2 linked regions of the Sus scrofa genome follow. The protein of the gene in region 2 interacts with the protein of the main gene of each other region in a pairwise test. Links are inferred from orthologs where the notes say so. Each region holds a gene or a part of one and is shown on either strand. Other genes may lie near its edges.

Evidence for each region.
Region 1: the proteins of NDN (region 2) and MKRN2 interact in a two-hybrid assay, tested with the Homo sapiens proteins (2 studies listed by BioGRID and IntAct). The link is inferred for Sus scrofa from reciprocal best matches to the Homo sapiens genes NDN and MKRN2.

Annotation. Positions count from the first base shown.
Region 1 is NC_010455.5:68,544,784-68,549,367, reverse strand, and holds the start of MKRN2 (probable E3 ubiquitin-protein ligase makorin-2), read right to left. Parts: upstream 2,887-4,584; 5' UTR 2,854-2,886; coding exon 2,609-2,853; intron 1-2,608. UniProt on the Homo sapiens protein: E3 ubiquitin ligase catalyzing the covalent attachment of ubiquitin moieties onto substrate proteins.
Region 2 is NC_010443.5:142,411,111-142,414,592, reverse strand, and holds NDN (necdin), read right to left. Parts: upstream 1,906-3,482; coding exon 928-1,905; downstream 1-927. UniProt on the Homo sapiens protein: Growth suppressor that facilitates the entry of the cell into cell cycle arrest.

The DNA.
Region 1 (4,584 bases), on a different chromosome or scaffold from region 2:
CACATCCCACAGTCAGGAAAGCAAACCAAAAACAGCCGATTACCTTGTTTAGGTGTAGTCTCCCCAGTAAATCATGCCTTGAACATTTCCTGTAAGTTACTAATATCTGGATATAAGACTTGAGTGAATAAGATGATGAAGTGAGAAAAGCATTTGCCATCATAAGCACATTAATGTAAACTTGGTACTCTTGGTAATATCGCTGTTTTTCCCATTTAAATACACGTTCTGGTTTTTGGAGTTCCCACGGTGGCACAGCAGAAACGAACCTGACTAGAAACCATGAGATTGCAGGTTTGATCCCTTGCCTTGCTCAGTGGGTTAAGGATCTGGCGTTGCCGTGAGCTGTGGTGTAGGTCTCAGACACGGCTTGGATCTCCAGTTGCTGTGGCTGTGGTGTAGGCTGGCAGCTATAGCTCCGATTCAACCCCTAGCCTGGGAACCTCCATATGCCATGGGTGCAGCCCTAAAAAGAAAAAAATATAAATAAATAAATAAATACATGTTCTGGTTTTTATTTGGCAAGGTAGTCCTTATGAGGTCAGACTCCTTCACATCCCTTTATAAGCGACCTTTTTTTTTTTTTTTTTCTTTTTTCGTCTTTTTAGGGCCACACTTGCGACCTATGGAAGTTCCCAGTCTAGGGGTCAAATTGAAGCTATAGCTGCCAGCCTACACCACAGCTCACAGCAATGCCAGATCCTTAACCCACCAAGCGAAGCCAGGGATCAAACCCATATCCTCGTGGATACTAGTCAGACTCATTACCACTGAGCCACGACAGGAACTGAAGTGATCTCTTTTGACTTTCCTATGGATTTGGATGGGCCATAGAATCTACAGGAGCATGAACTCTGAAGCCATACTGCAGCCACCTGGAAGCTGGATAACCCTGGCAAGTCACTTCAATGCTGAGGCTTTGTTTCACAATCAATCTATGCATTGGTGCATAGTGCTGGATTGTGCCACGAATTACAGCTGGTAAAGAACCTCAAAGAGCACCTAGCACATTGCAAGCCCTACAATGAACATCAGTTAGTACTTCAACAGAACTAATCCCTTCCCAACATGCCAACCCATTCTAGATTCTAAGCACTAACTTTCTGCAGGGCATCCCTGTTTGGGAAACACAGAATTAAAGTTTTCAGGTCAGTGTAGAAGGAAAAACAAAAAACAAAAAAAAACCCAAGATGATCTTGACTTAAGTTTTTGTTCCTGTAGTTAGATGTAAATTAGAGACAAGCTCTAAGTCTGAGCATTAAGGTTTCCTCACCTGTAAAATTGGGTACCACGAAGAGCTGAGATTCAGTTATAAAGCATCATATAAACAGGCAGTTTTGTTGACATATCTTAGGAGCATCAGCCATAAGTACAGTCCACAATGACTAAGAATACTGCTTTGTCATACAAATAAAAATAAACACACGAATAGGTCTTCACAAGAGACCTTCTAGAACAGATAACCTGGTAAAAGTCTTTTGTATAGACACTAAGTGTAAATTTCTGACAACTGCTTAATATAAGTTAAGTTATCGAGGGCTGGATAAACTGGCTGAACAGTTTAAACAGTTTAGCTGAAACTTTTTACACAGTCACTTCTCAACTATTCATACTAATGAAAAGAAGTAACAACATAGATGCTACTTACATACACTGTTCATTACATAACCAAACTACAACTGTGAGCTGTTTTTTTTCCTCTAATCAATGTTTCCCATACAGATTTAACTGAAACCAATTAAAATAAAAACTATTTCCCAAATTCATTAAGACTAGGATCCCAATACCGTCAAACCACATGCTTACCAAGGAAGGAAGGTGTTAACCAAAACCAAGCTATTTCTATTTAACAGGAGCAGTGAAGTCATACAATTTTGAATTTTTTACAACCATCCACCCATTGCTGTTGTATTTCTCCACGGAAATGGATCCCTCAGTAAGATGAGGGCATCATTTATTCCCACGCTGTAAAATAGGAATAACATCTGCCCAGAAACGTTACGGTGAGGGCTAGTGACAACGAATGCAAGGGACCTGGAAATATGCAGGACAAAGAACGAACTTTCAGTAAATGCTACTTTCCACACAATTCTTAACTTGCTAACTCTCTATAAAGTTTAGGTTGCACCGAAGTTCTTCAAACTCTTAGGAAACGAAGGCCGCTTACGGGGCTCCAGTTCTTTGAGGCCCTAACCGACGATTAACAGCCCAACCCTGCGTGGCATCTCCATTTGCAAACGACCTCCTGGAACCTCTTTCCTCCAAGTCACCTCTTCCAGCTACACCCACAGTCCTGGGGTCGCCTCCAGGGCCCAGCACCCTGCACGGCCCCGCCAGCACCCCTTCCTTCCAGGGCAGGGACCACGCTTGGAACCCGTAGACAGCCCCCCGCGCCGGCCTCGACCGAGTCTCCGCCACGAGACTCGGCCACGCCCCGCCGGGTCCCCGGCTCCGGCCGCACCGACTCCGTGGGAAGTCGGATGATGAACCGGGAGCCACTTTCCACGAACCGGCTCCAGCCTACTTCCCTGGCGCAGGACTGGGGCGCACCCTTGGAAGGGCCCGAAGCGACCCGGCGCTCTGGGACCCTGCGGCGCCGCGCACTGACCTGCAGGTGACCTGCTTGGTGCTCATGGCGGTCGGTTTGGGGAGCCGTCGTCTCACAACAGCCTCTCGCTCTAGCTCTCGATCTGGCAAGCCGCCGCCGTCTTGGCCCCGCCCACTCCGCGCGGCCGCGTCACGCCGGCGCACTCCGCCGCTCTCGGGCCGCACCTTTGTAGCGCCGGCAAGAAACCTCGCAGCCGTCACAATTGGTTCCGCCCCAGAGGTGAGGCGGGGCCGCAACTTCTGCATTCCTAGGACAGCGTTTCCAAGCCTCGTGGGCGGGGCCACACTAGAATCCTGGTCCTGCGGGTCTGTCCGGGTGCCGACAGTTAGTTCCTACGGGTCTGACCCTATCTCCAGCTGCGTTCCTTAGCGACTTCTCGCTTCCCAAGAATCACCTCCCCAGTCCCGAGGCCAAGCTCCCGCCTCTTTGAGCATCTTAATCCCGCATACCCCTGCCCATCCTCATGTGCAGTCCCTCGGGCCCCTTTCCCAGACCAGCCTCTACTGTTCCTGCCAAACCTCGCCTCCCGTTTACGGAATTCCTTAGCCCAAAGTCTCTACTCCCACCCCAAGTTTTAGAGCTCATTTTCTGTCTCGGCATTCCTCAGCTGTTCTTCCATTTCCTATGGTAGTCACCCAAAAAGACGTTCGTGGCTTTTGGTCTAATTGCCTATGTCCTGCGAAGCCTGCTTTCACACCTTTCTCCAACGCGTCCTCTTCATTTCCACGGTCGTGGTTCCTGTCTAAGCAAACGTCACTCCTTGCCTGGGCCACGCAGTGACCTCATAACTAGTCTTCTGGCTTCTGCTCCTGCCCTTTTCTTGTTAGTCACACAAAACCTGTTTTTAAAACATAAATCGGGTCGTGTCATTCACCACCGTTAACCCTTTCAATGCTTTCCCATTGCTTTTTTTTTTAATTTAATTGTAAAAAATTGAGCCATCATAAACTACAGTGAGGTGCACAAAATACTCATGCCTGTATGAATTTTTACATATCCGCTCTTGAAACCACAGCTAAGATTTAGAGAGAGAACTTTGGGAGTTCCCCTTGTGGCTCGGAGGCAACGAACCCCACAGTATCTATGAGGATGCGGGTTCAATCCCAAGCCTTTCTTAGTGGGTTAGGAATTCGGCATTACCATCAGCTGTGGTGTAGGTCGCAGAGGCGACCGCAACTGGAGCGTTGCAGTGGCTTAGGCTGTGGTGTGGACCAGCGCTGCAGCTCCAATTCGACTTCTAGCTGGGGAATTTCTATATGCCGCAGGTGCAGCCCTAAGAAAGAGTGAGAGAGAAAGGAAGGAAGGAAGAGGAAAGAAAGGAAGGAAGGAAGGAAGGAAGGAAGGAAGGAAGGAAGGAAGGAAGGAAGGGAGGAAAGGAAGAAAGAAAGAAAGAAAGAAAGAAAGAAAGAAAGAAAGAAAGAAAGAAAGAAAGAAAGAAAGAAAGAGACAGAAAGGACGGACTTTATCAACATTTCAGAGGGCTTCTTTATGCCACCTCCCAGTCAATACTTCCAAAAGGTAACTACTTATTCTCACCTCCACCACCATGAATTAGTTTCGATCGTTCTTGACCTTCACATAAATGAAAAAATTCCGTGTGTACTCTTCTGTCTTCTTCTGACCAACATTCCAGTGAAATCCACCCATGTTGTTATAGATAGCTGTATTTTACTTTGCTGTAAATACTGTAAATACTGAGTCTTTTGAGGAATGAGCATGTATATACTTCCTGTATATACTTCCAATTACTTGGAACTTTTAAAATTTCTCTCAGAAATTTAGGAAGTATATTGGATAATTTGTGCAATTATCAGTGTACAAGTCTTCAGAAACTTTTATTAGATTTATTCCCAGGTGCCTAGATGAATTTTTTTGATGCTGTTTTAAATGACTTTTTTGGTTTGTTTGTTTTTTTAGGGTCGAACCCATGGCATTTGGAGGTTCCCAGGCTAGGGGTCAAATGAGAGCTGTAGCTG
Region 2 (3,482 bases):
AGAGAAAAATGCATGTAAAAAGTTTAGTACAATGCCTCACTCTACCCACAAAAGACAGCTATTAATTTTAATAAAATGTAGAAAATGCAAGAAACTAAATATGAACAGTTACTATTTCTATGTGATGTGACTATGAACTTTTCTGTTTTTCATACTTTTCTCTTTGTCAAATTTTTGAAATGAACATGTGAGTTACATTTTGCAAAAAAAAAAACTATACACCTCACACATATGAGTCACGATTTCCCCACCCTATGAGATGAAATATATCTGTACATTGTGTAAAATATCTCATTCCCAACCCATACTACTTTGTTAAAAAGATAAAAGTACACTTTTCCATAAAAATGACTGTATCACAAGAATCTTTAATGTTTAAAGTTTACTCATGGTGGGGTTGTTTTTGTGTTTAGTAAACTGTGCCAAGTGTCCATACTGAGCCCCTTTAAGTCCACATCACCACACTCCAGACAGATGTTTCCTGTGCCCAGCAAGATCACAGAGAGAGAGGTCTTGACTTTTCTCTTGGTTAGACCAGCTTTACTGGTGAGTTCGTCCAAACTCTCTAGTACCTGTCTACCCCCATACACATCATCAGTCCCATGTAAAAGAATAAGATGGAAAATGTCTCAATGTATTTCATAAGTTTAGCACGTCTCTGGTACAAAAAATTCAAGAAAGGTAGCACAAAAGCGAAAGCACCAACTGAGCTTACTTATAAACAAACATGCATGAATCCTACACACTACCTAATTATTACTGAAATGAATACAACATTGCATTAAAAGGTATAAAAGCACTGTACTGAAAACGTAAAAGTTACACGTGAAATACTGCACTGTAAATCCTGAATACTCTAATGTCCCACCCCCACCCCTCCACCACCCTGGTGAGGGTCAGAAACCATCAATCTGCCTCCAGACCTTGCTAGTCCTCGGAGACACTGTTGCGGGGGCAGTGGGCAGTGGGGTTGGCCTCCCGCAGGGCTCTGGCCTCTTCCAGAGCTTCCCTGTAGCGGGAAGGCCAGGCCTGGGGGTCTTTCTTAAAGACCCTGGCCAGGAACTCCATGATTTGCATCTTGGTGATTTCACGGCTGGCACGGGAGCCCCAGAAGAACTCATACTCAGGGGGCTCGACGTGGGGGACGCGCTGGTACTTCAGGTAGTTCTGCTGTACGAACTCCTCAGTGATAAGCTTTCTCACATCTCCAAAGGTGGAGTGCTTCTTCCAGGGCCTCAGCCCCAGGATGCGCAGCACGTTCCACACAGCACTCTCACGGGCACCGCGACCCTTTACGTAGATGAGGCTCAGGATCATCAGCAGGAGGCCTGTCATAGGCATGCGGTTGCTCAGAGCAACCCTGTCCAGCTCCTCAGGCGCCAGAGCTTTGACCAGCGAGAACTCCATGGTGTGCAGGCTGGTCAGCCTCAGGTGCAGCCCGAACACTCGGGCGAGGATGAGGCTGGTGCGCCTCAGGATGCTTCTGCACCACTTCTTGTAACTGCCGATGACATCTTTCACCATGTCTGGGAACCAGATGATCATCCTTTTCTGGTCCTTGACCAGCACGTACCACATGAGCTCATGTGCCTTCTGCACCAGCTGGGCCGGGGCCGGCGGCGCTGGGCTGGGCTGGGCTGTGCTCCGGGCCTGGTGGGCGCGGCCTTCCTCCGCGGCCTGCTGTAGAGCCTTTGGGTCTCCCTCTTCGCTCAGGGCCTGGGGCGGCGGCGAGGCCAGAGGGGCGTCGGGTGGGCCTACAGGAGGGATCTCTGGCCCTGCGAGGGTCGCGGCCTGGGACGCAGGCGGAGAGGGCCCCCCGGCCACCCCAGGGCTGCTGTGCACCTCGGAGTGGGAGGCATCGGCTGCAAAGTTGGGGTCACACACGTCCTTACTTTGTTCGGACATGTTTGCTCCGTCTGGCAAGGGCTCGGCCGCTGCGTCCAGGAGCTCTTCGACTCTGCGCTCCCTCGGTGGACTCCTGGAGAGGAAGTGCGCGTTGCTGCGCGCGGCGCCTTCCGCAGCGGCCGGGCGGGGCGGGGCGGCGGCGGGACAGGCTAGTGCGCCTGCGCATCCGTGGTCTGTGGGGGCCCTGCCGGCTGGCGGTAGGGGCGGGGCGCCTGGAGGGCTGGGGTGTATTGAGGTCCCAAAGGGGTAGGGGGCCTAGTGGAATACTGGCCTCATGACCCACAGTCGTCCAGTTTGGGCTAAGGAGGCGGTCCTGGGGCCGGGGGGAGGAGCGACATGGGTGAGCACTGGACAAGGAGCAAGTTTAAGAGGAAAGATGGAAACTTAAGCTTCCAAGATGCTGAAGCTGAATTTCTTAGGAAATGTTCAATTGGGTATATGTAGAATCAAGTTAGATGTGAGTTTCAGAGAAAGGCCCAGGTTGGCACATAAGCTTGGGTTTTGGATAACAAGTGTGAGAATTTAAACTGACAGAACAATCAGGGTCACCCAAGAAAATGTGTCAACTCTGAAAAAGATGCGGGATATCAGAATCATGAAAGATAGCAATAAAAATTGATTGATTCACTGCGAGTTCCCATTGTGATACAGCGGAAAGGAATCTGACTAGTATCCATGAGGATGCAGGTTCAATCCTGCCCTTGCTCAGTAGGTTAAGGATCTGATGTTGACATGAACTATGGTGTAGGTTGCAGACAGGGCTTGGATCCAGTGTTGCTGTGGCTGTAGTGTCAGCTGGCAGCCGTAGCTCCAATTCTACCCGTAGCCTGCTATGGGGAAAAAAAAAAAAAAAAAAAAAAAAAAAAAAAGATTTCCTGACTGCCAAGTCCAGGGGGTTATGAAGGAAAAATGCAGAATGTAGTCAATACATGTACAACTGAAACTTTCTTGAAGACAATGTACTAATGATACTGTTAGGTGCTTGAATGGTCATTGATTTTGGTTTTTCTACTTCCCTTGGGTAATTTTGATGTAATTTTAATTTTTTGATTAGGATCTCATCACACAAAGATTGCTGTATTTATTAGCACAGACTAGTATGATGTCTTTCTACTTGTTTGTCCAGGAAGGACCCTAATTCCCCTTATGACTGATGTAGCCTTCACGGGTGTGTTCGTGTAGACCCCACCTCTGCGCTTTCACACAAACTGACTGGTTCCAGAAATTGACAGCCACACCCAAATCCCTCCTAAGACTTTTTTATTTGTCTAACTAACCAATTAGTTAATTAACACAAGTTCCCTAGATTGTATATGGCAGACAGTCTCAGGTGACCAACAATATGAGATGCAATGTACTGGTGGTTGTTTTTCACTTTTAGAACATGGATATGCAGTGGGCAAAAACAAAGCTGACACTCCCAGAGAAGGATGGGTGTAGGAACCTATGGATCCAAGGTTTCTCAGGCTGATCAGCATCCCTGGTCTGAGCCAATATGGTATTTCAGACCTTACTGAATTTCCTCAAGCCAACAGCGTCTTGTTTTTTTTTTTTTTTTTTTTTTCCCCTTTTTTGGC